7 linked regions of the Cricetulus griseus genome follow. The protein of the gene in region 1 purifies or fractionates together with the protein of each later gene. This does not show direct contact. Links are inferred from orthologs where the notes say so. Each region holds a gene or a part of one and is shown in the gene's direction. Other genes may lie near its edges.

Evidence for each region.
Region 2: the proteins of Ep300 (region 1) and Smarcc2 purify together in Homo sapiens (affinity purification with mass spectrometry; 3 studies listed by BioGRID, with this or other methods). This does not show direct contact. The link is inferred for Cricetulus griseus from reciprocal best matches to the Homo sapiens genes EP300 and SMARCC2.
Region 3: the proteins of Ep300 (region 1) and Alyref purify together in Homo sapiens (affinity purification with mass spectrometry, with the first as the bait; 3 studies listed by BioGRID). This does not show direct contact. The link is inferred for Cricetulus griseus from reciprocal best matches to the Homo sapiens genes EP300 and ALYREF.
Region 4: the proteins of Ep300 (region 1) and Atf2 purify together in Homo sapiens (affinity purification with mass spectrometry; 3 studies listed by BioGRID and IntAct, with this or other methods). This does not show direct contact. The link is inferred for Cricetulus griseus from reciprocal best matches to the Homo sapiens genes EP300 and ATF2.
Region 5: the proteins of Ep300 (region 1) and Taf15 purify together in Homo sapiens (affinity purification with mass spectrometry; 3 studies listed by BioGRID and IntAct, with this or other methods). This does not show direct contact. The link is inferred for Cricetulus griseus from reciprocal best matches to the Homo sapiens genes EP300 and TAF15.
Region 6: the proteins of Ep300 (region 1) and Ctbp2 purify together in Homo sapiens (affinity purification with mass spectrometry; 5 studies listed by BioGRID and IntAct, with this or other methods). This does not show direct contact. The link is inferred for Cricetulus griseus from reciprocal best matches to the Homo sapiens genes EP300 and CTBP2.
Region 7: the proteins of Ep300 (region 1) and Mcm4 purify together in Homo sapiens (affinity purification with mass spectrometry; 3 studies listed by BioGRID and IntAct, with this or other methods). This does not show direct contact. The link is inferred for Cricetulus griseus from reciprocal best matches to the Homo sapiens genes EP300 and MCM4.

What each region holds. Positions count from the first base shown.
Region 1 is NC_048595.1:378,772,865-378,776,364, forward strand, and holds part of Ep300 (histone acetyltransferase p300), read left to right. Parts: intron 1-245; coding exon 246-674; intron 675-1,651; coding exon 1,652-1,831; intron 1,832-1,967; coding exon 1,968-2,112; intron 2,113-3,500. UniProt on the Homo sapiens protein: Functions as a histone acetyltransferase and regulates transcription via chromatin remodeling. Acetylates all four core histones in nucleosomes. Histone acetylation gives an epigenetic tag for transcriptional activation.
Region 2 is NW_023276806.1:129,411,630-129,415,129, reverse strand, and holds part of Smarcc2 (SWI/SNF complex subunit SMARCC2), read left to right. Parts: coding exon 1-50; intron 51-736; coding exon 737-829; intron 830-1,076; coding exon 1,077-1,196; intron 1,197-1,283; coding exon 1,284-1,346; intron 1,347-1,627; coding exon 1,628-1,886; intron 1,887-2,108; coding exon 2,109-2,270; intron 2,271-2,543; coding exon 2,544-2,608; intron 2,609-3,013; coding exon 3,014-3,155; intron 3,156-3,243; coding exon 3,244-3,410; intron 3,411-3,500. UniProt on the Homo sapiens protein: Involved in transcriptional activation and repression of select genes by chromatin remodeling (alteration of DNA-nucleosome topology).
Region 3 is NC_048600.1:133,091,013-133,095,270, reverse strand, and holds the start of Alyref (THO complex subunit 4), read left to right. Parts: upstream 1-1,458; 5' UTR 1,459-1,496; coding exon 1,497-1,730; intron 1,731-2,053; coding exon 2,054-2,185; intron 2,186-3,493; coding exon 3,494-3,641; intron 3,642-4,234; coding exon 4,235-4,258. Other genes in the region: Anapc11 (anaphase-promoting complex subunit 11), read right to left, coding at 605-713. UniProt on the Homo sapiens protein: Functions as an mRNA export adapter; component of the transcription/export (TREX) complex which is thought to couple mRNA transcription, processing and nuclear export, and specifically associates with spliced mRNA and not with unspliced pre-mRNA.
Region 4 is NC_048599.1:101,241,183-101,245,238, forward strand, and holds the start of Atf2 (cyclic AMP-dependent transcription factor ATF-2), read left to right. Parts: upstream 1-1,256; 5' UTR 1,257-1,422; intron 1,423-4,056. UniProt on the Homo sapiens protein: Transcriptional activator which regulates the transcription of various genes, including those involved in anti-apoptosis, cell growth, and DNA damage response.
Region 5 is NC_048600.1:96,720,414-96,724,461, forward strand, and holds the start of Taf15 (TATA-binding protein-associated factor 2N), read left to right. Parts: upstream 1-1,248; 5' UTR 1,249-1,389; coding exon 1,390-1,396; intron 1,397-4,048. UniProt on the Homo sapiens protein: RNA and ssDNA-binding protein that may play specific roles during transcription initiation at distinct promoters. Binds to ssRNA containing the consensus sequence 5'-AGGUAA-3'. Can enter the preinitiation complex together with the RNA polymerase II (Pol II).
Region 6 is NC_048596.1:67,839,129-67,842,628, forward strand, and holds part of Ctbp2 (C-terminal-binding protein 2), read left to right. Parts: intron 1-1,178; coding exon 1,179-1,333; intron 1,334-1,561; coding exon 1,562-1,706; intron 1,707-3,500. UniProt on the Homo sapiens protein: Corepressor targeting diverse transcription regulators. Functions in brown adipose tissue (BAT) differentiation. Isoform 2 probably acts as a scaffold for specialized synapses.
Region 7 is NC_048597.1:73,869,819-73,873,645, forward strand, and holds the end of Mcm4 (DNA replication licensing factor MCM4), read left to right. Parts: intron 1-157; coding exon 158-365; intron 366-1,347; coding exon 1,348-1,576; intron 1,577-2,010; coding exon 2,011-2,144; intron 2,145-2,810; coding exon 2,811-2,903; 3' UTR 2,904-3,327; downstream 3,328-3,827. UniProt on the Homo sapiens protein: Acts as a component of the MCM2-7 complex (MCM complex) which is the replicative helicase essential for 'once per cell cycle' DNA replication initiation and elongation in eukaryotic cells.

The sequences.
Region 1 (3,500 bases):
AAAGGTACCCTCCTTTTTTCTTTGAAAACTATGATTGTGTCCAGGGCTGCACACTTAATTTTGTTCCTGGAGACAGAGACAGGTGGATGGATATCTGTTAGATCAAGGCTAGCCAGGTCTATGTAGTGAGACCCTCATCTCAGAAATAAAGAAGTTTGCTACTGTTATTTATTAATAACTACTGTGTGCTCTAAATACTACATGACCTGCTTTTGTTAATACTGTATGTTTTTTCATTTTACCAGGCACAAATGTCCAGTTCTTCCTGTCCAGTGAACTCTCCTATAATGCCTCCAGGGTCTCAAGGGAGCCATATTCACTGTTCCACTCTGCCTCAACAAGCTCATCAGAATTCGCCTTCTCCTGTTCCTAGTCGTACCCCTACTCCTCATCATACTCCCCCAAGCATAGGGACTCAGCAACCACCAGCAACAGCAATTCCAGCTCCTGTTCCTACACCTCCTGCCATACCACCTGGACCACAGCCCCAAGCTCTACACCCCCCATCTAGACAGACACCAACACCACCAACACATCTTCCTTCCCAAGTACAACCTTCAATTCCTGCTGCTCCTGCTGACCAGTCCCAGCAACAGCCTCGATCACAGCAGAGCACTGCAGCTCCTGTTCCTACCCCAACAGCACCACTGTTGCCACCTCAGCCTTCAACTCCAGTACGTAAGCAGATGTGTCTTGGAGTGTCCATAGGACCAGTTAAGCTCCAGTGATGTTTCTATACCATTTTTTCTTTCACTTTTGTTTCATCTTTGCTTGTTTTATTCATAGACTTGGGTGTTTGTTGCCTGTTTTTGCTTCCTTTGGTAGAGAAAGCTAGAAGATTTTGGTTAATTTTCACTGACCATTCTGTTTCAAATGATTATCTGAGGCCTGAAAGCTATAAGAGTTTTATCAATGCTTAGTGTAACACATACACATGTACTTGTTTAAAGATATTTTGAGGCAGAGGCAGTGAGATCTCTGAGTTTGGGGCCAGCATGGTCTAGAAAGCAAGTTCCATGGCAGCCAGAGTTATTACACAAAGAAACCCTGTCTCAAAAAACAAAGCAAGGAAAGAAGGGGGGCAGGGGTGAAACAGCTTAAGTTGCAGTGCTGAAAAATGAAAGTAAAGACCTATGTGGGGTACATCGATTTTACACACACACACACACACACACACACACACACACACACACACACGAGAGAGAGAGAGAGAGAGAGAGAGAGAGAGAGAGAGAGAGAGAGAGAGAGAACAAACTATAGGAGTTAGTTCTCTTCTGCCATTTAAATACCAGGGATCAAACTCGGTTGTCAGACTTGATAGCAGGTGCCTTTATGAATGAGCTATTACATAGTCCCTGATGTCATTTTTTTAATATTCTGAGCCTCTCTGATATAGTCAACTTTAGAACATCCACCCCTAAACACATAACAAAAAAGCTGGTAACTGTTTCAAGTAAAGCTAGCCAGCTAGCATTGGGAAGTCCCATATCATCCATTCTTAAAATGATCTTTGTGAGAGAAAACATAATAATAAAATGGGTTCAGTGAGAGTGCCCCAAATATAAATAGCCTTGTGTAATTTAAATTTAAATTCTGATTCCATGATTGGCAAGCTTTTGTGTATGTGTATGCTTTACCTTTTTCTCTCCAGCTTTCTCAGCCAACTGTAAGCATTGAAGGCCAGGTATCAAACCCTCCATCTACTAGTAGCACAGAAGTGAATTCTCAGACCATTCCCGAGAAGCAACCTTCACAGGAAGTAAAAATGGAGGTTAAAATGGAGGTGGATCAACCTGAACTAGCAGATGCTCAACCTGAAGATACTCAGGAGGTGAGACTAGAGCAATTAGGTTCTGCTATAAAAGGAAATTCATGTATGTCCATAATGGAGCGTAAATAAGGTGATAATGGTCTTGTTCCCAGGTGTAAGTCTTTGAATTTTTTAAAATTCCTGTCTTATATTTTAGGCTAAAGCTGAAGATGTTAAAGTGGAACCTACAGAAACAGAGGACAGAGGCACTGAGTTAAAACCTGAAACAAAAGAGGAGGAAGACCAGCCAAGTACCTCTGCTACGCAGTCCTCCCCAGCTCCTGGACAGTCAAAGAAGAAGAGTAAGTGAAGGCTGGGAAGATCATTCATTTGGTAAAATGCTTGCCCCATAAACAATAAACATCTGGATTTGTTTCCTAGCACTTGTATATATATCCCAATGCTTAGAAGGCAGAGGGAAATGAATCTCTGAATTCAAGGACAGCCTTGTGTACTACATAGCAAATTCCAGACAAGGCTGAGGTAGACAGTGAGACCTTGGGCATTTTGGCACACCTATAATCCAACCACTGGAAAAGTTAGAGGCAGGGGGATCACTGGAGCTTGCTGCCTAGTAAGTTGAGATCTTGGAAGGACATAGGGTTCTAGCAGAGGATAACAGAGAGTGGAGAGGGTCAAGAGTGCTGAACCGAGACTGAAGAGATGACTCAGGTTTAATTTCACGCACCCACATGGCAGCTGACAGCTGCCATAGTATACGACACCATCACACAGACATACATGGAGACCAAACACCAATGCACAAGAAATAAAAAAAATTATAAACAAAACAGTATTTAAAACTGTTCTTATAGAGGATCCAAATTCACTGACCAGCAGCCATATGGCAGCTTATAACCACCTGTAACTCTAGTTCCAGGGACCAAACACACTCTTCAATCTTCCTCAGGCTCCAGCACACACACACATTTTACATAATTTTAGGTAATAATACTAACACATCATACTAACACATAAGATGAAGTATCAAAAAATGTTTTGTTTTGGTTTTTTTGGGTTTTTTTTGTTTTTTTTTTTAAAAAAAGGTCATTGACCTCTGAACAAAAATACCCACCCAAGGTTGATCCTTGGTTTACAAACACAGGCTCATGCATGTATGTGCACACACATACACGTATACACATACACCAGCCGTGCTGGAAAGATAAGTGATAAGTCCTATAAATTGTCCTTTGTCCTCCATAAAATGCCTTGGCATATGGGCATTTGTACACAAATGCACAAAAGATAAATAAAAATGTAACTTAAAAATTTTGGTTAGGGGCTGGAGAGATGGCTCAAAGGTTAAGAGCACCGACTGCTTTTCCAAAGGTCCTGAGTTCAATTCCCAGCAACCACATGGTGCCATCCTCTATGAGATCTGGTGCCCTCTTCTGGTGTGCAGATATACATGGAAGCATAATGTTGTTAAATAAAATCTTTTAAAAAAATAAAAATAAAAATTATGGTCAGGTGGTGGTGGCTAGAACCTTTAGTCCCAGCACTCCCGGAGGCACATGTGGATCTCTGTGAGTTCGAGCCTGGTCTACAGAGCGAGTGCTAGGCTCCAAAGCTCTACAGAGAAACCCTGTCTTGAAAAACCCAAGGAGAGAGGGGTGGGGTAGATCAGGTCTCAATTCTAAATTGTTAAATATTGGTGTCATTAATAGAGCCCTGCCTTTGGTGATTG
Region 2 (3,500 bases), on another chromosome or scaffold:
TGGCGGACACACCATCAGGGCTGGTGCCTCTTCAGCCCAAGACCCCACAGGTAGGGTGAGGGGTGCTGGGGACAAGGGTGTGTGGATAAGACAGGGCTTCTTTGGACTTTTCTTTTTCTGTTTACTTTTTTATTTTTATATTTTTTAGAGTAACGATTGAGGAGTGTGGTAGGGTTTCTTCTTTGAGCATGACTTGGAAGGGGGCCACAGGAATCAGCACATGTGTTTAGCACCTTCTTTTAGTCCCAATACCTAAGCTGTAAGCACTTGTTGAGTGAGTGAGAGAAGTTGCCCCTCATCCCAGGGAACAGACAGGCTAATGTAGGAGACAGAGCAGATAGAGAAGTCACTTGTGATAACTCAGATGAAGTTTTTATGCTTTGCCATGTTTCCCATATTTTTTTGCCTCATAAGTATTATCACCTTCATTTTTTCCCATTTCCATTTCATACATTATTTAAAAAGAGAAGAAAACATTGTGTGGATAACACAAAGATACCAACTGAATCTAGGATTAGGATCTACTGTCCAGCTCCTTAGAGTCTGTGACGATGCATGTGACTACAAATGTCTGTCATGCCAGCTACATGTCTAATTAATCATGGAGGCAGCATGGGACAGTGGCATGAGTGTCCCCAGAGCTTTTGGGCCGCCCAGCATTTGATCTTTAGGCCTCCAAGGCCTTGGCCTGGCCATTTCCTGCCCAGCTTCCATGACGCCAAGCTCTGTCCCCCAGGGCCGCCAGGTTGATGCTGATACCAAGGCTGGGCGGAAGGGCAAAGAGCTGGATGACCTGGCGCCAGAGACGGCTAAGGGCAAGCCAGAGCTGGTAGGTGGGGTGCAGACCCCCCTGGGCTGTTTATTTGCCCCTTCACTGGGGGACCCCTGCCTGGAAAGAAGAGAGCAGAGGAGCTGCAGCAGTAAGGGAGGAAGTCCCGCCCAGCCAGGCATCCCTTTCTCTCTCTCTCTCTCTCTCTCTCTCTCTCTCTCTCTCTCTCTCTCTCTCTCTCTCTCTCTGCTTCTGGCCCCTGTGGCCACTTATATTTACTTCTTTTTTTTCCTCCTTCCACAAATAGCAGAGCTCTGCTTCCCAACAAATGCTCAACTTTCCTGACAAAGGCAAAGAGAAACCAACAGACATGCAAAACTTTGGACTGCGCACAGACATGTACACAAAGAAGAGTGTCCCCTCCAAGGTATGAGGTGCAGCCAGCCTGGGCCTGACAGCCTTCACCCTACATAGCTTGGTTCCTCTATCCTGAGGCGCCTCTGTTTCCCTGCAGAGCAAAGCTGCAGCCAGCGCCACTCGGGAGTGGACAGAGCAGGAGACGCTGCTGCTCCTAGAGGTAACTGGGTAAAGCACGGAGTGCTGTCTCTGCTGAGGACAGAAGCGGCTGGGATGCCAGCCTGTGCGTGGGGAGTGCTCATGCAGCCTGGTGTCTGTCATTCCTGTCATACCAAATCCTTTCTTCGTGTGCTACTTGGAGATCCCCCTTGGGTCCAGCAGAATGCAGAAATCCCAGAACACCAAGGACTTTGAAGCCAGATGCCTTTAGTGGGATGGGGGGAGCTGACCTTCAAGGAAGTGGCGAAGTAAGCGGAGTTGTGTCTCCACCACTCCCACCAGGCTCTGGAAATGTACAAGGATGACTGGAACAAAGTGTCTGAACATGTGGGAAGCCGCACGCAGGATGAGTGCATCTTGCATTTTCTTCGCCTTCCCATTGAAGACCCATACCTGGAGGACTCAGAGGCCTCCCTAGGCCCTCTGGCCTACCAGCCCATCCCCTTCAGTCAGTCGGGAAACCCTGTTATGAGCACTGTTGCCTTCCTGGCCTCTGTCGTCGATCCCCGAGTTGCCTCTGCTGCTGCCAAGTCAGCCCTAGGTAATCTGGGGGAGGGGGGCTGGCCTTCTTAGTTTACTTTTACAAGGTTAGATGCTCACAGTGAAACCTCAAGTCTGGCTGCCCTGCTGGCCTTGTCTGTTGCTGCCTTAGGTCAGGCACCTGTCTAACTCCGTGTTGCTCTTAGAGGAAGCCGGGCTCATGAGAAAGCTTGCACAGGGGTGACCAGAACTGTCCCAGCCTCTCCCCCTCTGGGTCTTACAGAAGAGTTCTCCAGAATGAAGGAAGAGGTGCCCACAGCCCTGGTGGAAGCCCATGTGCGGAAAGTGGAAGAAGCAGCCAAGGTCACAGGCAAAGCAGACCCTGCCTTTGGTCTGGAAAGCAGCGGCATTGCGGGAACCACTGCTGATGAGCCTGAGCGCATTGGTGAGCAGGAGCTTTAGATTTCTTCCCATTCACCAAGAGCCAGATCTAGAGCCAGCTGGCCTCTCTGTGCCATGCCCATCCTGGCCTGGCTCCACCACAGCACAAGTGGGAGAGAAAATCCATGGAGTTATGTTTTCCTTCATGATGTCACCATAGGGAATCGGGCTTCCTTCTACTGGTCTTGTCCCTGAGGTTTCAGCTACTGGAAAATTGTCACATAGATGGGACTTCTCAGACTTTTTTTTCTTTTCTTTCCTTTCTCCATGGGTCCAGAGGAAAGCAGTACTGATGAGGCACGGGCAGAGGGCCAGACATCAGATGAGAAGAAGGAGCCTAAGGTACGGAGTGAGTGGCCTGGGTCTGGAAGAAGCTGTCCGTGGTGATCAGGGATCCAGGGGAAGGGTAGTCTCTTGAAGTCAGGGGTCACGGTGGGGCTGAGCAGATCGTTCAGTGGGTGAGAGTGCTTGTTCTACAAATGTGAATTAGAGTCCCTAACACCTATGTAAAAAGTTTGGCATTGTTTTACACGCCTGTAACCCCGTTGTAGGACCCCAATGGAGGGTGGACCTGGCTTAAGGCAGTAAGATACTCAGTGTCCTGCTCTGGCCTTGGCATGTACACACCCATACATGTGTGTGCAGCACATACTGTGCATGCACGCACAGAGATAAAGAGGTTGAGTCAGTCACTAGCCTGGGCCCCTGTGAGAACAGCATCCTCTGATGTCTTCCTTTCTTCTGGAGCTGCAGGAACCACGGGAAGGAGCGGGGGCTGCAGAGGAAGAAGCAAAGGAGGAAGCCAGTGAGGCTCCCAAGAAGGATGAGGAGAAAGGGAAAGAAGGGGACAGCGAGAAGGAGTCCGAGAAGAGCGATGCGGACCCAATAGGTAGCTGCTCAGCATGGCGCGTGCACACATGACAAGGGGGTGTGCCTGCCGTTAAAATAAGGCTAATTCTACCTCTGTCCTGGCACAGTTGATCCTGAGAAAGACAAGGAGCCAAAAGAAGGCCAGGAGGAAGTCGTGAAGGAAGTGGTGGAGTCAGAAGGCGAAAGGAAAACGAAGGTGGAGCGAGACATTGGTGAGGGCAACCTCTCCACAGCTGCTGCGGCTGCCCTGGCCGCCGCTGCAGTCAAAGCCAAGGTGAGGGCGGCTCTTGGAGAGGAAGCTGCTCACCTCTAACCTTCCCTTCTGCTCCTTTTCACTTTTACCCTAGATGAGTTAGTCATCTCT
Region 3 (4,258 bases), on another chromosome or scaffold:
CATCAACTTAAAGTATGGAAACTGCTGTCTGAACTTCAGTGTGCTGGGCAGGGGTATCCTCATTTGTTCTGCTTTGCTTGGAGAAAATTCAAACTGGAAGTAGCATTTTGAGGAATTAAGAGAATGACCAATCATCACAATGTATCCCAGGCAAGCTTCAAACTCAAGCCTCCTCTTGCCTCTGTCTGTGCCACCATGCCTTGGCAAAAACAAAAGTGTTGTTTTTGTTTATTTGCTTTTCTTTGTTTTTACAGACAGACTCTCATTATGTAGCCTCCAACTCAGAGGCTACCTGTTTCTGCTCCCAAATGCTGGTATTACAGATGTTTGCCACCATGCTGGATAGGGTCTTTATACAAAAGTGAGTTTGAAGAATTCGTTTATTTTCTGTCAACTTTCCTTCAGGAAATGGAAAGTAAAACCCACGGTTTTATTTTCTGGTTTTCTTAGTTTTTCGAGACAGGGTTTCTCAGCGTAGCCCTAGCTGTCCTGGAATCTCGGAGATCCTCCTGCCTCTGCCTCCCTAGTGCTGGGAAACCCAAGGTTTTCAAGGCTGGTGGAGCTGGCCGAAGTTCTGAGAGCACGGGGGAGGGGGGGCACTTACAGTCTGGACAGCAGCCATTAAACGCCATCCTGCAGATGCCACAGTTCTCATCGTTGGCTACCCAGAGCCACGTGGCCACACCATTCCAGCACTTAATCTTCACCTTCATGGCAGCAGAGCGTGCGACCTGAGGGAAGAGGGTTTCCTGGCTAAAGTTACTCTGTATTACTACCACAGACGGCACTTGAGCATTTAAGGCGGGGAGCTGCGTGCTAGGCGCCTCCAGGGAGCCAGGCTCCCAAGTTGTTTTGCTATGTTGAAGGTCGTTTTTAGAGCTGTGCACCCAGGTAGCGGGCCAGGCTGGCTCACGCCTTTAACCTCAGCGCCGCGGAGGCAGATCCGCCCAAAACCAAAGGAGGAAAACAAAAACAAAAACCACTGCATCCATGAAAAACACCTCGGTTTTCACTCACAACCCGCGCGTGACAAGCCATCAGCTTGCTAAATTTAAATAAAATTAAATTTTAAAAAACCATCCCTTCGAGCCCACAAACCCCAAATCGGATCCACAGATCGGCCCCCCGCCTCGCAGCTCAGGGACTCGGCGGGCGGACGGACCGAACTCGATCCGGCGCCTTCCGGCCTGCGCAGGGCGGATCCCAGGCCAGGCCCCGCCCACGCCTCGCCCACTCCACCTAATCTCGCGGCGCCCCGCCCTTCCGTTGCAGGAGCGCGGGAGGTATAAAAACGACCGCGCCGCGCCGGGCGCCACACACTCGCGCGGGCCGTCCTCCTGAGCGCAGCGCAGGCGCCCTCCGCTCTCCGCGCGCGCCGAGGCCAATCAGGGGCAGCTTCGGGGGCCGCGACGCCGGAAGACCAGGGGAAGCTCCGGAAGTGACCTAGCGACGTGCTGACGCGCGGGCTCGATCTGAGGCCCGATTCCGCGCCCGCCATGGCCGACAAAATGGACATGTCTTTGGACGATATTATCAAGCTGAACCGGAGCCAGCGAGGCGGCCGCGGCGGAGGCAGGGGCCGTGGCAGGGCCGGCGCCCAGGGCGGCCGCGGCGGGGCGGTGCAGGCGGCCGCGCGGGTGAACCGAGGCGGCGGGCCTCTGAGGAACCGGCCCGCCATCTCTCGCGGCGCCGCCGCCGGCGGCAGGAACCGGCCGGCTCCTTACAGCAGGGTGAGCACGGGAGGCGCGGCGCCGGCGGGGCGGGCTCCCGGCGCCCTGAGGCGGGCGGGCGGGCGTCCTGCGGGAACCGCGGGAACGGAACGGAACGGAGGGTGGGCGGGGGCGACGCCGCGCGGTGAGCGAGGCCCCGGTCACAGGCCGGGATCTTCCGGGACGCTTTGTCCGGTCCGGTCCCGCCTCGTGGCGGCGGAGCGGCGGGCGTGGGGGTCGTCTCCTCCGGGCTCTCGGGCCGCCGTGAGAGAGAGAGTGTGAGTGCCGGGGAGGGATCGGGGCGCCCGAGACGAGGTCGCTCACGAACCTCTCTTTCCCTTCAGCCGAAACAACTTCCAGACAAATGGCAGCACGATCTGTTCGACAGCGGCTTCGGGGGTGGAGCCGGCGTGGAGACCGGCGGAAAACTGTTGGTGTCAAACCTTGACTTTGGAGTGTCAGACGCAGATATTCAGGTAAGAGACCAGAGCCGTCCGCATGCTTATCCCCACACACAGAATCCCTTCTGATCAGAGCCTGTGCTCCCCCAGGCTGCCCAAGGGCCAGCCGCTGCCCTCACAAAAAGTAGTATCCCCTGGGGTTTGAATGTGACTGATAGGTCAGGCTGCTTGGAAGGCAGCCTGGTGTGCCCCCAGAGTGGCTCTTGTCTGCTAACGTCACGAGCACCTGCCGTCTGCAAGGCTTACAGTTTCTAACGGGCACAGACTGGCCACAAGTCCGGTCCCTGTGTGACCGAGGGTGCTAGCTTCTCAGGCTTTGTGCCTGTAGTAGTAAGCTTATGAGAAGGAAAACTCTCCCCACCCCCACATGTCTGAAGGCACAGGGGTGAATGGTGGCTGTGTGTCTTCCAGACTGACCTTTCCTGGGTCTTACCAGGGGCATTGTTCTCATACCTTTGGTTGAAGTCTTTTTTTCTGTCTGTCTGTCTGTCTGTCTGTCTGTCTCTCTCTCCCCCCCCCCCCATCTCTATCCTCTCTCCCTCTCTCTGTCTTTCTTCTGGCCCTCAAATGCAATTAGAGTTAACAGAGCAGGTTTTTAGGAGTTAGTTTTGGGTCATGGGTGCTGGGCCTTTCTGGGTTCCCTTTCTCAGAGCCCCGCCATTTGGCCTTGTCAGGGAGCATAGAGCAAGGCCAGTGAGCACTCACAGTGTCTCCACACTTTTTTTAAGGTGGTTTCTGGCATCCACTGGAAACCGCTTTTGGTGAACTTCACTTCCCGCTGTGTGCCTGCGGCCGAAGTAGCCCCACACTCTGGGTTCCCTCTCCAACTCCCAGCCTGCCTGAGGTCAGGGCAGTCTCCATGGCGCATTTGACTTCAGACTTTGCAGCAGGCTTGAGTAGGAGGAGAGGGAAAGGTGAGCCAGAATCTGCCTTTGGGGGAGGGGCTTGGGTCACAGCTCCCCAAATCAGTGGGCCCTTTGAGCTGTCTGCTCTATGAACAGCTTCCCTTGGTTTTTCTCTTGGCCTTTGCTATCTGATGAAACAGCCATTAGTCAGGTTGTGAGTGCCCTTGCTGAGAGAGAGGTAGTTTCTGTGTGCTTCCTTCACCTGCATCATGGTACAGTCACACACGTCCCAACGTGGACAGGAACCCAGGTGCTCAAAGTGACACCCTTCCCTCACCTCTTGATTGCCTCTGCCCCGCCCCTTTTCTGGGTGGTGGTCAGTAAAGTAGCACCCAGGAACCCTCACAGCTACTGAACTGAGCCTCTAGAGGGAAAACAGCTTAACTGCTTGGCTAACAGTTGCCCTGTCCACTTCCAGGAACTCTTCGCAGAGTTTGGAACGTTGAAGAAAGCAGCCGTGCACTACGATCGCTCTGGCCGAAGTTTAGGGACAGCAGATGTGCACTTTGAACGGAAGGCAGATGCCCTGAAGGCTATGAAACAGTACAATGGTGTCCCTTTAGATGGTGAGTATATGGGGCTGGGCCCAGGATGCCTGGGGCTTACGGAGTTTGGGGCTGGCACCTCTCCCTGTAGGAATATGGGCTGCCCCTGTGGCTGAGGACACTTTGCATTTGCCCCTTTGTCTCTCTCTTCCATTCTGCCACCTCTCATGCTGCCCCACACATCTGGACCAACCTCTTGTGAACCCCCATCCAGCAAGCTACATCCCTCCCCTCCTTCAGCTCCTTCCGGAAGATTCACTTCTGTGAAGCCTTCTCAGAACCGCCATAGTACAACCTGAGTGCGGGGCTGTAGTCGTAAAGACAAAGGTACCTGTTCTTCTTCCGTCAGGCTACCCACACCTGTCCACCCATGAGCACCCTGGACACCTGACCAAACAGCCCTCTTAGCCTGAACTGAGAAGGAGTGAGGAGGTGTTGGTGGGGTGTTATTGCCACTTTATTTTCCCACCAGGCTCTCTAGGCCTTGTACCTTGTTGGGGGCATTGGAGACACACAAAGGCCCTTTCTAGAGCTTGCATGGAGACCAGGGTGTGGTGCCTTCTGGGTCAGCTTCAGAGCCTCTGGAGTGAGACTTGTTGTATTCTTTACCATAGGCCGTCCCATGAACATTCAACTCG
Region 4 (4,056 bases), on another chromosome or scaffold:
AATAATCTTTTTTCTTGTCTCCAGTTTAAGGACTTAATACTTTATGTGTATGAGTGTTTGGTAGCTTGAACACATGTGCATCACATGTTCACCTAGGTCAGAAGAGGTTGCTGGATCCCCGTGTTTTTGAGCAGCCATGTGGATGAGGGGCATCCGAGCCTGAGTTCTTGCTGCAAGAGCTCCTAACCACTGCACCATCTCTGGAGGTTCTTACCCTCAGTTCTTTAAAAGCTATTTCCAAACATTAACTGGCATTTCTTTGGCACTTCAATTTACAAATCTAAAGAAAAATATTGTGGGAAAAGTGCCACTTCTATGCTGTGTTCTCATTGGTATCTTTTAGTCCTCTTTAAAACGTTAATAACGATTTCTTAAGCTTCAAAATACTGAAGCCATCCTGCTGAAATTAGTATTTTTACCTGTAACGAAGTAAAGGAAATGTAATGAAAGAGAACACACCATAATTTCTAAAAATATTTCTCCATTGTCTTAAAATATGGTGACATGGTGGAAGACGTATTTCCTTTCAACATACTCATAATGTACAATGGGCTTGATGCGGGGTGGGGGCGAAGAATCAGCTCCATTTCGAGCTTAGTAAATTCTGAACAAAGACCTCTCTGAGAAAATGCCTCTCCTAGACAGGGCTGACATAGTTTGCTTCTGACCACACACTGGGGCGGGGGTGATGACTAGCAAACCCCCGAGTCTCCCAAACCAAGCGCAGTTCCCCAGCTCCAGCTTCCGGGTAGCCGGAGGGTGGTCCAGGAGCTCGTCTCTCTTCGCGTTCCCACATCCCTAGTGAGGCCGGAAACCGACACATCGGAGTCGTCGGAGCTCCGGGCTGAGTTCCTTTAGCCTCTCCAGACCTCACCTTCCTTCTCTGATACCGCCCACGCCCTAGCCTCTCCCTCCACCATCACCTGCGCGCGCGCCCGAGATCCCGCGCCCACCTCCCTCTGGTTGCCAATCACAGCTTTCCGCAGTTCCCTGGTTACCGAAACAACGGTCCTTGGCTTTTGGTCACGCCCCTTGGAACTGCTTCCCGCCTTTCGTGCTCTTCGTCCAATCACTAGCGTCCGAGTGCTCTTTGGTTCCCGCCTCCCCGTCCCCGCCCTCCCGAAGGCCCGCCCTCTTCCTTAAGCACGACTGCGTCACCTGACCCGTAGGCGCTCCCTTGGTAGAAAGCAGGAAGGAGCGTGTGCGTGAAGGGGAGGGGCGCGAGAAGAAAGCGGCGGGGATGCCGGGAGTGGGGCGGGGAGAAGGCTTGTCAGTCGGATCTCGCGAGAGAGGACGGAAGCCTGTGGGAGCCCGTGGCCTTTAAAGTCGATTCAGCCCTTTCCTCCGGGGCTAGTTTGTAAACACGGCTGGGCTCCGGGCTCCCGGGTGGATGAAAGGACCATGAATTAGTGACCTGGAAAGGTGAGTAGTGGTGAAAGGGCCGCAGTCTCGGAGGCTGTAGGGGTTCAGAGGAAGAAGGCGCTAACATGGCGACGTCTCAGCCTGTAGTCCCCACCCCCCGCCTCCCACCCCTTTGGCGCCCCTGCCGCGGACCCCAACCCTCCGGACGGCTGTGGCCGTCCGCGCCAACGCCTCTGGCCTGGCGGACCCACCGGACCGTTAGGTAACGCGGCTGCAGCGTCGGCCCCTCCCTCGCGCGCTTTCCCAAGCCCCAGCGAAAAGGAATAACGGCTCCTCTCAGACCCCTCCCTCCGATTTACCATCCCCTTGTGTGGTCACTTGAGAGGTCCCCGGGCGCTCTTCGGATCCGCCCAGCTGACGGGGAGACCCCCGCCTCAAGTCCTTGATCGCGCCGCAAGAGGGTCCACGCTGGGCTCTCCATCCAGGACTCTAACGGTTGAGGACCACGGACGGGGTTTGGGATGGATGGTGCGGTGGAGGAGGATTGGAAAGCGTGGCTAAAAATCTAGCCGGGGTCCCTGGCTCCCGTGGAACGTGATGGAGCCAATGGTATGGAGAGCCTGGGAGCTGGAGTTCTCGGCCTTTTCTGTCCATTCTGCCACCCGCACTCCCGCCACCCCCCACTTTTCCCAGGTGGGGCGGGGCTGAGGTGTGGATGCAGGTTGATTCTGCTATTTCCCCCCATTTTTTTTTTTTTTTAACCTCGACGGGTACAGGTGTTTTACAGAGCTTCTGTAGGGAAATATCTGTTCCTTTTATCAATCAATATACTAGGGACAAGGGAGAAAGAATTGTGTTTTTTTGGTGTGTGTGTGTGTGTGTGTCTCTGCCTGCCTGTGCCTGTGCCTATGCCTGTCTCTGTGTCTCCGTAGTGCTTGTTCATTGAACCAGATCTCGGAGGACTGGGACTATTTTTATGCATCTAGGTAATATAAAATTGTCTCCTCTTAATGGGGAGTCTTAAAACTGAGGAGGCCGAGTAAAACTACCGTCAATATAATGGAGTAAAAGAGATTGCTTATGATAAACCCTTAGGCCTGTTCCCTAATGCCTATATTACCTTGTGGAAGTCCCAGTTTCTTAGGGATTACAAATTATAGATACATTCACACCACATGCATGTAATGGTATATTAGAAATCAGACCAAACGGTGACTGTTCTCTGAGTTCACTTTTTCCTGTTGGAAGAAATTCTTAACCACTGGAATTGCCATTGTCAGTAATAACCGTCTCAGGGATACTCCTTCAGAGCCAAATGGCCTTGGTCTATTGCACCAAAATTGGAAGGTAAGACTATAAAAGACTATTTTAAAACAAATTTAGGTAATTTCCTGAAATAGAGACACAGTAGGAATCTTATATTTAGATTTGCTAAACCTACTTGAAGAATCCCCTGCAATGAACTTTTTCCAAATGTATAGGAATATTTTGTAGAGTATGGGAGTATGCTAAAAATGTATCCTGTAAAAGCAAACTAAGTTCATGGACTTTTTCTTTTCTTTTCTTTCTTTCTTTCTTTCTTTCTTTCTTTCTTTTTTTTTTTTTTTTTTTTTTTGGGCCTTTCAAGCCAGAGTTTCTCTGTGTAGTAGCCCTGGCTGGCTGTCCTGGAACTTACTGTGCCTCACTGGCCTCAAATTCACAGAGATCCACCTACCTCTGCCTCCAGAGTGCTGGGATTCAAGGTGTGAACCACCATAGCCTGCAAAGATTCGTGGATGTTGAAGGCCATCAATAGTCAAGTTATAATTAAGCTTCTAGGTCATAAAGATAATTTTTCAAAAAAATCTTTCAAATTCAGTGTGTATGCTGTCCTCCTAAGCTGTCTTTCAGTGCTCATTTAGAACTTGATTCTTTGTATCTTTGGGGGGTGGGGGTCAGAGGCGTTTAACCCTAACTGCCCCAGAACTCACTTTGTAAACCAGAATTTAGAAATCCTCCTGCCTCTGCCTCCTAAATGCTGGGATTAGAGGTGTGAGAATCCACACCAGGCAGTTCTTTTCAGGGGCATTTTAGTTTTGATATAAGGTACTAAAAACTTCCTGTAGATTACCTGGAAATCCCTTTAACATTACTAAGTTCTTTATTTTGTATTTGGAGCATTATATTATCAAATGTGTTACCTAGAAATTCTTACATTGGTTATTTATTTGGAGGAGTGCTGTTAGAGTAAGATAGTGGTAGAACTGGTTATTCTTTAACAAATTATTGGAGGGTGCTTTGGGGTTTTAAAATTTTAAAGCTGTATTGTTTTGAAATTACATCATCCATTAAATATCTCCTGAGTAACATTAAATCAAGAAATCTAGTTTTATCTCTACTTTTAAAAAATCTTGAAAACTTGAGTTCTAATTATTTATCTGTACTCCCCTAATCAATTATGTTACTCAGTCTGGTAAGCAGCTCTACCATACATGCTGTTTCCATTCATTTTTGCCTTTGGTGTCTTTCTTCCTATATGATACGTGTCTGAACTGGTATTACTTTCTTTTGTTACTCTTATTGAAATGCCCTTAGAAAGGTAATTAACTCTTTTGTATTCAAACCAAAAATTTTTACTGCAACCTTCCTTGATTAGAAATCAATGTAATTGGATAATTCAGCTGACCCCTCTGAAAACTAATACAGATAGTTCTT
Region 5 (4,048 bases), on another chromosome or scaffold:
CCCATGAGTGCTGGGATTAATAGGTGTGTGCCAGCTTGATTGGCTGAAAAAAAAATTACCTGTGCTAGGAATTGAACCCAGCAACTTAAGCATGCTAGGCCAGGATTTAATCACTGAGCAATATTCTCAGCTCCCCCTTCTCCCCTCCCAACAAACAATAGGCATCTCTCCTCTCCAACCTGTTCTTCATTCTGCAGCTGGAAAATACCTATCTGATCTCACCCTTCTGAAGTTCTTTTGTGGGTGGATCCACCGCCTTCAGGATAAAGTTCAAACTACAAGACCTCAGCTATTTAGCCTCCTACCTTTCTGGCATGTTCTAGTATTCTCCCCCGGAGGCTATGCTCCCAACGTATCAAGTTACTTGTTCTACAAGTAGCTTGGACAGATCTTTTGCCCCCTTCTTCAACTTAACTCATCACGCAGGCTTTGGTTCAGGTGTCACTCACTGCGGGAAAATGTCCTCGCTGATTCTATTTTAAGTTTTCCAAGCCCTTTCTCTAAGTGAGTTTACTGTACAGCTTTACGGTAACCCACCCTCAACTGAGGGTGGGTTACTAGACTTCCAAATTCCACCTTACCCCTTTATTAGCCACACGACTTTATCCGCAACCAGGGGGAAATATTTCATCAGTCTGTAGTGGGAATGATGTAAGATGCCGACAATTAGCTGGTTATTATTAGGGTTGAGAAAGCTCGACTCCTGCACAACCTTATTCCCGGAGTCAGGTTTGCGCGTGATTTAGACTGAACTCACATTTTTGTCCTCGTCTCACCTTGATTTTTACTGGACAAGGCAGTTTTAGCAAGCCTGGAGGTGATCGGGTACCGAGCTCGTCACGACTTTCGTCCCGCGCGCTCCTCAGGCTCGGAACGCCCCCAAGTGGTTCAAGCTCAGCAGCAAGAGCCGGAGCGAAGCCGGCCACACCATTCTCTATTTTAAAGGAAGAAACTAGTTTTCCAGGCCAATGGTTCCTACTTATGAAAGGGGAGCCTCCTCTCTCGCTTTTATAGCTTCAAATTCTACCTGACCCAATAAAATTAGAACTGGGGTTGTAAATGGGGCGGAGCGAGCCGGCCCGGCTTCCTCCCCTAGTCCCTCGAGGGCATTGGTACTTTCCTTTCTCAATTCCCTCTCAATAATGGTACCGTCGCGGAGGGGGGAACGGGGAGGGACTCCGCAGTCGGCGGACTGGAGAGGAGTAGAACCACCCCTCCGGCTTTGGCACGGTGGTATCGTCCGCCGTGAGCTGATTGGCTGCCGAGGTCCCGCAGTCGGTCTCAGCCTGCCGCGCCGCCCTCAGAACTGCTCCGGCAGCCGCGCCGCCTGGCTTTTCGTTTTCCTTGTTCTCCGCGGGCCGTGGGGGCTCCGCGCCGCGGCTGTTAGTCATGTCGGGTAGGTGACTCCTCCAGCGAGCAGCGGCAGCGGCGAGAAGGGGTCCGGCGTGTTCGGGCCGTCTTCCCGCGCACCGGAGGGCGGCGAGGGAAAGCCTCCGGCCTGAGGGAGGCTCGGGTGGGGGGGGGGCGGCCGCGTCGCCGCCATGTTGGACTGGAGGCACGCACGCTCCCAACGCTCTCTGGCTACAAATCACGGCGGGAGCGCTCTGGAGCCCTGTCTTTTGACCCTGCCCTTGGAACCCGAGGAGATGTGCAGCTCTCGGGGGAGGGGGTGTGTGAGTTGGGGGGCGGAGGCCCGTCTACACCATCGTAGGGGCGGGGGGAGCCGAGATCTGAGCATCAGCCTGAGGACTGGGGCTTCTGGTCCTCCGCTCCGCCTCAGATCTCTCAGCGAGGCCTCTTGCCGGTCGTCTCGCCGCCTCGTTCCTCAGTTCCCCCATCCGAGAAGTGGAGCTGGGCCTTCCTGACTTACCTATTCATCAGGTGGGGGTCTTGAGCTCTGGGAGCCCCACGTTGCCTTACGCGTAATCGCACTTACAGGTCATTTTCTCTGCTGTAAACCGCCGGGATTGATTGGGGTTGGGGGTGTTTGTGTATTCGGCTTCACCTTTGTACTCCCTCCTGTGCTTGTTAATCTCCTGAACTTAAAAGTGAGCCTTGACAGTGACTAATGAGCACTTTTAGGTCTTCGTGACATTTTCCTTAAACAGAGAGACCAAAGGAAAGACAGCGCCTTCCTCAAAGTGATATTGATAGAGGCATTTATCTATCTCTCCACAACAGCAAGTTTGGAGCCTGTTAAACTAGAAAAAGTCCTCTTGATTCTAACAGTTCCAGTTGATCACGCAGGTCCTTTATTTTTGGACTACATTTACAGGTGGCAAAGACAGACCCAGATATGCCCTTGATTTTAGAAGCCAGCGTAGTTTGTACTCTCCTTCCGAGGGAAACGCCTTTTGGTACAAAGTTTTACAGTGTCTCATTATGTATCCTTGGCTGAACTGGAGCTCGATGTGTAACCCAGGCTGGCTTTGAACTCACAGATCCGCCTGCCTCTGCCTCCCAAGTGCTGGGATTAAAGGTGTGAACTACTATACCCGCCAGTTTTACACCTTTATTAATAGGCAAACCTTTTAAAAAAGTATCCCCAGTCCACCAAGAGTGTGTGTGTGTGTGTGTGTGTGTGTGTGTGTGTGTGTGTGTGTGTGTGTGTGAGAAGAATATGTACAAATGCTTCCTTAGGGTATATGTAGGTTAACCATGACTTTAAAAAATTAAAATTCTACCCTCATGTAGAAATTACCAAAATATATTGCAAGCTGTGCTCAGTAAAAACTCGTGGGATTATTTGGACAGGGTTTGAATCATCATCTTTAAGTAGCCTCTTGAGTGGGATTACGGGCTTGCTGCACCTTGCCCAAATTGTTCGTTTTTTTAATGTAGTTGTTCCTATAAGACAATGACATTTTTATAGGACTGTAGTTTCAATGGAAAATTTAAATTTAGAGGCATAAGTTAAAATCTTTCAAGTTCTTTTTAGTGTTATATACAGTGTAACATGTTTTTCGATGTGTGTATAAATTACGTTGACTTTTGTATAAAAGTAATGCTTTTGACTTGTTTTTTAATGCATGTTTAAATTAATAAACTTAACAGAATAAATTCCTTCCCAAGCAACTAGTATCATTAATAAGTTACATTCTTTAAACAGTTAGAAATTTAATTGAATCTACTTGCCATGTCAGACATACAGACATATTAAAATATAAGCATTTGGGCTGGAATTAATGCTTAGCATGCACAAAACTTAAGGATTTGATCCCCTGCATCAGAGGAAAGAGATACATACATAGGATTTTGTCAATAAGTCAAAATTATTGTCAGTCTGACATTAAAGAATTATTTGCAAAAGTGAATTATCAGAGCTTTTGAATTAAAATCACGAGTAAAATATTAGTTACATATAAAATAAAGTCAAGCTATTTCTCATTTAGGACAGATCAAGGTATCTTCTGCGTTCACCTCAAAAAAAAAATAGGCAAACATTTGGGAAAGCTTATGGTAAAAATGAAGTAGAAGCCAGTATGATATGCATAGATCTTTTTTGGCTATTACCTTGCAGAAAGTATAGGTCTTGTGTAGAGTGGTTTTATTATCTAAGGATGGGTGATGAAACCTTAAACTGTTAGCCAGATAATGGAAACTGAAACCCTTATAAATCTTGGGCTTACAGATTATAAATTTGAAGGACTGTGTCCTTCAGTGAAGAAATAAACAGAGGAAAAAAATCCTATTGTAAGCCGACAAGGAAGTTCAGACACAGTAGAATCTTAGAATTTGTAACCTGGAACCTCTTACTTCCTTTTAGGTACTCATTTAGCCTTTAGGAAATCTTAAAATGATTTAACATAAAAATAAAAAAATATGGGCTGATTAACATCTTTGGGCTTCTGGTTTAAAAAACAATTTAAAAACATGAAAAACTGGAGGAATTTTCACAACATAGATCACAAAGAATCTGAGGAAATCCAGACCTTTCGGAGGTGAGTTCATGGTAAAAATTGAACACCAGAAACAGGTGTCAAAATGAGTCAAATGACAAACTGGATTAGAACAAATGTTTTTATGTTGAGGGTTAAAAACCTAAAAG
Region 6 (3,500 bases), on another chromosome or scaffold:
CTGCCAGACGCTCAACCCATGTTCTTAGACTCTGGCCGTTTTGCACGCTCCCTTAGTAAAAAGAAGGCAGGGTGGCATCAGAACCTCACATACCTCAGCTGCTCATCTGGTTAGCAAGCAGTGCTCTGTAGCTGATTGACAGGATGAATACATCAACAACTGTGTGATGTCACTGTCACCTCACCTTCTGTGACAGCAGCCACCTCCAGGGACCTCACCTGGACCTACTGGGGATAGTGAGGCTTTCTTTTCTTTTCTTTTTTTCCGAGATAGGGTTTCTCTGTGGCTTTGGAGGCTGTCCTGGAACAACTAGCTCTTGTAGACCAGGCTGGTCTCAAACTCACAGAGATCCACCTGCCTCTGCCTCCCTAGTGCTGGGATTAAAGGTGTGCGCTACCAACACCCGGCTGAGGCTTTGTTTTCTTATAGGACCAACCTGTCAGTTACCTGAGCCATGGGCCAGTGAGGACTTGGGGTGTACCCTGCTGCTCACTACCTTGCCATTGCCAGTATGAAAGGATTTTAGAACTTGGGGCACGACCACTCAGGCAGGTGGCAGGTGAATGCTGGGAATGCTATAATATCAGGGTCTGGCTGCCATTCAGTCAGATTCCCTTTCAACACAGCTTGTTCCCGTAAGACCAGGACAAAGACATTCTCTCTACTCTGGGCTCACTGTCTGCCCTGACTGCCAGTATGGTGTGAGGATGTCTCTGCATGCAGTGAGAGGGTGCCAGAGGGAGATGGACACAGCTCTCGGGTCTGTGTATGTTCACATGTGAAATCATAGGACAACTTGCAGGGGTCAGTTCTCTCCTGCACTGTGGGAGTCAGTTACCCTGAAGCCATGCGGCTTGGTGGCAAGTGCCTTTACCCATTGAGCCATCTCACTGGACCAGAGTTTTACTTTATGGGGCAATTCAAGTGAGCTATACAATTGCCCCTCTGGGTCTTAGAGCGAAGTGAGTTCATACCAGAACTCTGCACTTACCCTCCAGTGATCTAGGAACATCACTACCCCTCACTCCCTGCTGCCGCCCCCCCCCCCCCCGTTAGCTGGTAAAGCTGTGTCATGTCCTTGGCTCCACCAGACTTGTGTGCTCTCTGCTTGCCTTGGCATCAGCCACTGAGGACACCCTCCCTACAGTGTACTTACCACACATTTCTTCTCCTTATAGGTATCCGCCCTCAGATCATGAACGGCCCCCTGCATCCCCGCCCCCTAGTGGCACTGCTCGACGGCAGAGACTGTACCGTGGAAATGCCCATCCTGAAGGATCTGGCCACTGTGGCCTTCTGTGATGCACAGTCTACTCAGGAAATCCATGAAAAGGTGGGTTGCACCCCACCTTACCTGGGCCCCTCCAGGCCAGCTGATGTCAGTAAGCACAGTAGTCACACACAGGAATGCCTAAAGTGTATGGAATTCCCGATGTCCTTAGCCTACTCTGCCACCCTCAGGCACTTACTCCATGTCTCCATCCTATAATTTCTGCTAACAAAGTCTCAGAGCCTTGTGTTCCCAGGGGTTCTGACCTGTGACTCATGTCCCTGCCCACAGGTGTTGAATGAGGCTGTGGGTGCCATGATGTACCACACTATCACCCTCACCAGGGAAGACCTGGAGAAGTTCAAGGCTCTTCGTGTGATCGTGAGAATTGGCAGTGGCTATGACAACGTGGACATCAAGGCTGCTGGTGAGCTCGGTGAGTCGAAAGGCCATGCTGGCTGCCTGGAGGCCACACTCAGTAATGGGCAGAACGCAGAAGGCAGGGCAGTTGTCCTAGGGAGTCTTGTTTCCATTTTCCCATGCACCTTTGCCCAGCCTCAGCTCGAAGCAGGTTCAGGGGCTGGAAGATCTTGAGATAAGCAGTAGATTAGTGAGTTCTTCATTGAGCACACCAAAAGAAGCTGGCCACCACCTGCTGTCCATTCCCAGGGTGCTTCTCAGAGAAAACCACAGGCGGGTAGAAAGCTAAGCAGGAAGGTAGAGTACCTGAGTGGCACAGGGGACTCCTGCCCACACCCCCATGAGAATTGGTGTACACTGGCAGCAGAGCCTGGGGGGGTCAGTGGGGAGTGCCTCAGAGCCACGTATTTTGTCTGAATAAAGTGTGCCGCCTCTTTATTCATGAGCCTCATGCATTTGAAATACCTCAGAATAACTAGAAACCCATGTACCGATGGTGCCACAGCAGCCTGAGCATAGTAATGCTCGTACCATCAGCCTGGGCCTACCACCTGCTGCTGCCTCACCCCAAGGGCTCCTGGAACTAACTCCTAGGACAGCAAAGCCAGGTGTGCGCAGTGCCTCACAGTCATCTCTGCACCGGGCCTAACGCTAGACTCGACAGCTCTGTCTATAACCCAGACACACCCGCCATGCTGGCCACTGAAGCAGCACTGGATCCAACTTCCCTTCACAGTCTGAGCCTGCAGCTTTGAGAGGGGTGGGTGCCTGTTTTTAGTTTTCTGTTTCTTTGCATTTAGAGCAGCAGTTACTATGAGCCTGAACCCCAGGATAAGAAAAGGACAAAGGAAGCTGTGCCGGGTGGCACCAGCCAATGCCCACAGTATGTCTGTGGGGCAACCTCACAGGGGAAGGTAGACATCTCATGTAAAGCAGAATCAGTCCTATTCAGCCCGGGCTTTTGAGAGTCCTGGGTAATCATGGCTTCCTATGTCCCTACCCTAAGCAGCCTTGTTCTTTTCCAGTTACAGCCCCTCTGAGCCCCTCTTTGGCAACAGAAGAAACTTGTTGTGATTGATGTGAGGCCACGTACCTGAGTTTAATTGAGAAAACTACCTGGTGCGGTGTTATACACCTGTTATCCAGGGAGGTCTCTTGAGTTTGAGGCCACCCTGGTCTGCATAGCAAGTTTGAGCCTAGCCTTAGCTACTTAGACCCTGTCTCAGAAAAAGAAAGAAAAGAAAAAAGATGTTTCCCAGACACGAGCAAGTATGCTTGTGTTTAAAAATATGTATCTGAGCCTGAAGGAAGTGGCCACACACCTTTAATCTCAGTACTCTGGGAGGCAGAGGCAGGTAGATCTCTGAGTTCAAGGCCAGCTTGGCCAATGGAGTTAATTCCAGGCCAGGGCTGTTACATAGAGAAACCCTGTCTAGAAAAAAAGCAAACAAAAGACGTGTGTCTGTCAGGAATAGAGATAAATTCCCTGAGTTGGGACTATGCAGGAAGACATTCAGCTTTCTAGCCCATTGTCTCTCACACATAGTTCCTGTTGGTAGTCAGCCCCTCTTCTCCAGTCAGAGTCCAAGAAACAGACTGCCTAGGGCCAGAGCGTTGAAAAGTGTAAAGGGGACACGAAGTGTCACTATTGTGGCCCATTGTGATTGGAGTGGCTATTCAGAAGACTTCTGCTAATGAAATAGATGGTCCTCCAGCAGTGTCTGTCATTTAGCTCTAAGTACATATGGTGCCTATCAAGTCAGCCAGCAGACCCTTTGGAGAGTAGTAAGACGAGTGGCAGGTGTGCCCT
Region 7 (3,827 bases), on another chromosome or scaffold:
ACCAGGCAGGACTGAGGATTGGTCAGTTGGTGACGAGGCAGCCCTCTGTGGGCATGTATACAGTATAGTTGATTAGTGGTTTAAACACATTTAAATCCTATATATAGGTATGTTGGTGTCTCAACTAGAAAGACAGTATTTTTCTCTGTCTTGTCAGGTTTGATCTTATTTTCCTCATGCTGGACCCTCAGGATGAGGCATATGACCGGCGTCTGGCTCATCACCTGGTTTCACTGTACTACCAAAGTGAGGAGCAAGTAGAGGAGGAGTTCCTGGACATGGCAGTGCTGAAGGACTACATAGCATATGCACATAGTACCATCACGCCCCGACTGAGTGAGGAGGCCAGCCAGGCTCTCATTGAGGTAACCGGGCTTAAGAAACAGTTTACAACTCTGGATGAGTTAGCTGTTTCTCTTAACTTATTTGTTTGTTTTTTTAAAAAAAGTAAAGACAAAGGTAATTTAGATTCACACAAACTTTTACAAGATGCACAGGGATATGCTAGGGCTTGTTTGGGCTTAGTATTGTGATACGGTAGGTACTTTGGTGAGTTTATATCCTAGCTGGGTTCAAAAAGGCTCAATTAAGGTTACAGATAATATATGATTTTTCCATTTGTATCATGAAATAAATGAAACTACATGCAAAATGAATTAATCCTCTTTGGAGCATAATATCCTAAGTCATCTTTTACAAACCTTGTAAAATGGGTCTCATGGGCAGTTTGCCAGGCCTTTTCTGTTCTGTCCTGTCCTTTCCTTTTTTTTCCTTGGTGTTTTTTGAGACAGGGTTTCTCTGTGAAACAGATCTGACTGGCCTGGAACTTACAGAAATCCACTTGCCTCTGCCTCCCAAGTGCTGGGATTAAAGGCGTGCACCACCACCGCCCAGCTGCCAAGCCTTTCCTTACAGACTCTCTGATTCCTTTCCTATGGCACTGTTTCCTTTGGGGGGGGGGGTAATCTGTGAGTCTGTGTTTGGTACTAGGGATTATACCCATGAACATCTAGGCATGCATTCTTCTAAATTATACTACCAACCTTTTAATGTCTCTTCTTCATGTCTACCTGTACAGATGTTTCCAAAAGTCTTCCTCTCAAATATTTCTGACATCACCATACATGGATGTAACTAACCATCCTCTTGGTTTCTGGGTTTCTGTTTGTGTGTGTAAGGCTCCAACCAACTTCCCACAGTCTAGCTCCAATTTGTAATTCCCTAGAGTAACACTGCAGGCAGACAGGCCATCAGTTATTTAACAGAACCCTAAGTATGCAAGGTCATCCATGAAACATGAGGTTCTTGTCAGCAATGGCTTAATTTTGTTGTTTCTATCTTCTCTAGGCCTATGTGAACATGAGGAAGATTGGTAGTAGCCGGGGAATGGTTTCTGCTTACCCCCGACAGTTAGAGTCATTAATTCGATTAGCAGAAGCCCATGCTAAAGTAAGATTTTCAGACAAAGTTGAAGCAATTGATGTGGAAGAGGCAAAACGCCTTCACCGGGAGGCTCTAAAGCAGTCTGCTACTGACCCTCGCACTGGCATTGTGGATATATCTATTCTTACTACAGGTTTGTTACTCGCTTTGAACAAAATGACATAAAATCGAAAGGTATTCTGTCTGTAACCTATTAAAATCCATTTCAAGGGAGAGTGAGGCATGTACATTTGCCCTTTTTAGTCCCAGTTATGCAGAAGGCTCACTTGGGGTCAGAAATACTAGGCAAACTGAGGCAGCACATAGTAAGGCCCTGTCTCAAAATAAAAAGAATTTGATCTCCTAAGTATGAGTATCCTTGCTGCACAGCTTATGTCAGCTTTCAATGACAACTATTGATGTGTAAAATAATTGAAATAACAAAAACTAATATTCTTGAATGTGCTCTGGCATTTAGCTGTTCTCCTACCTTTCTTGGCAATACCTCTGAAGGAATGTTTGTGGGAATTCTGTAACATTTCACTTCCATATGGCAGAAATATTTCATTTGATTTCTTTTTGACATAGGGATGAGTGCCACTTCTCGTAAAAGAAAAGAAGAATTAGCAGAAGCATTGAGGAAACTTATTTTATCTAAGGGTAAAACACCAGCTTTAAAGTACCAACAACTATTTGAGGATATTCGGGGACAGTCTGACACAGTAAGTGTTTATATATGTGTAAGTAATGTAAGTCAGAATAAGATTTCCTCTTCTATAAACACATCATCAAGAAATACACAACTAAAACTGTAGCATACTTGTTCGGGTTTAGATTTGTTTCAGAGATGAAATATTTGTATGGCCTTTTGCAATTAATTAAAGATGGATTGTCAGTGAAAAGTACTGTGTGGATTGAAGTGATGAATATGCTTGGTTTTGCTTTGTTTTGTTTTTATAACACTTCTTCACTTGCCCTTGTCTGCATTGCATGATGAAGGCAGAGCTTAGAGAAAACATTGGTTACCTGGTCCTTTGAAGAAATATTTGCTATCCCTGATTTACAGCATAAAACAAAATATGTACAAGTGGGGTTGGTGAGATGGCTCAATGGGTAAAGGATGTGTCTGCCGCTAAGCCTGATGACCTAAATTCTAGTCCTGGGACCCATGTTGTAGAAGGAAGGAACTGACTTTGGCAAGTTGTCCTTTGACCTCCACTCATACACCAACCCACACACACACAGGAACACAAAATAAATATGTATATGAAATGTAATTTAGCAAAATGAATTGTCTACAACCACCAAAAAAAAAAAAAAGACCCAGTTGTAGTTTAACATATGTATGTCTAACAAGAAGGACTCAATGTGTGACGTTTTGTTTCTAGGCAATTACCAAAGATATGTTTGAAGAAGCCCTGCGTGCATTGGCAGATGATGACTTCTTAACGGTGACTGGGAAAACTGTACGCTTGCTCTGAGCCATCAGTTGCTGCTGTTGTTGATGCAAATAGTCTGAAAGGCAATGCTCTGCTACATTTTTCTGTCCCTCATTGTATATTTTAGTACATGTATGTTTTCACATTTTAACATCAACATACACAGTAGAGATTACTGTCTTGATATGCCACTTAATTTTCAGCACCTATTTGTACACAGTTTTAGAGAAGGTTTTTTAATAGGGGGCTTTGCTTTTGTTGTTGCACTACTGGAGATGAAGTTAAGACTGCCATGCCTACTATATATGCAAGCTATGGCCCCGGTGTATGGAGAATTTTGTGGTTAGAGGTAACAGATGGCCAGGATAAAACCTTAGTTGTGATGTGATGATGGGCTAGATTCCAAATTGGCTTCTACTTTTTCTTAATAATGTAAAACTTTCCTAAATAAATGATAGAAAAAGTAGTACTTGGTTGTTAAATGTCCCGCACGCTGTATGTTCTCGCCGGCAAGAAATACACGTAGGACACTCGGATCCTTCTGCAGACAAGCTTTAATGCATCTTGAGAGGGAGAGAGCATAAGCTTACCAGAGCGGAGACTCTGAACTAAGAAACCCATTTCCTTAATAAAGGCTGGCAAGCAGCCGCCTGGGACGTGTTACCCTATGAATGGCTTCAGCTCCTCAGGCCAAATGAGCCACGGGATAGGCAGAGATCAAAGGAATGGAGATTACCCAGCGCCTGTAAAGTAATTTACATCTTGGTGTCTTCAGGCACCATTATTGTAATGGAGAATGCAGGAACCGGCTCCCTACAGTTAAACATTATTTCTCATTAACAACAGAACTCTGCTAAATACTATGTTCTTGGAGTCATAATGGTGCTTTTTAGGTTATAAAAGAAATAAGATGTAATGAATTTCATTGATTTCTTTAGATCCTTGGAATAATTATTCTCAAAACAA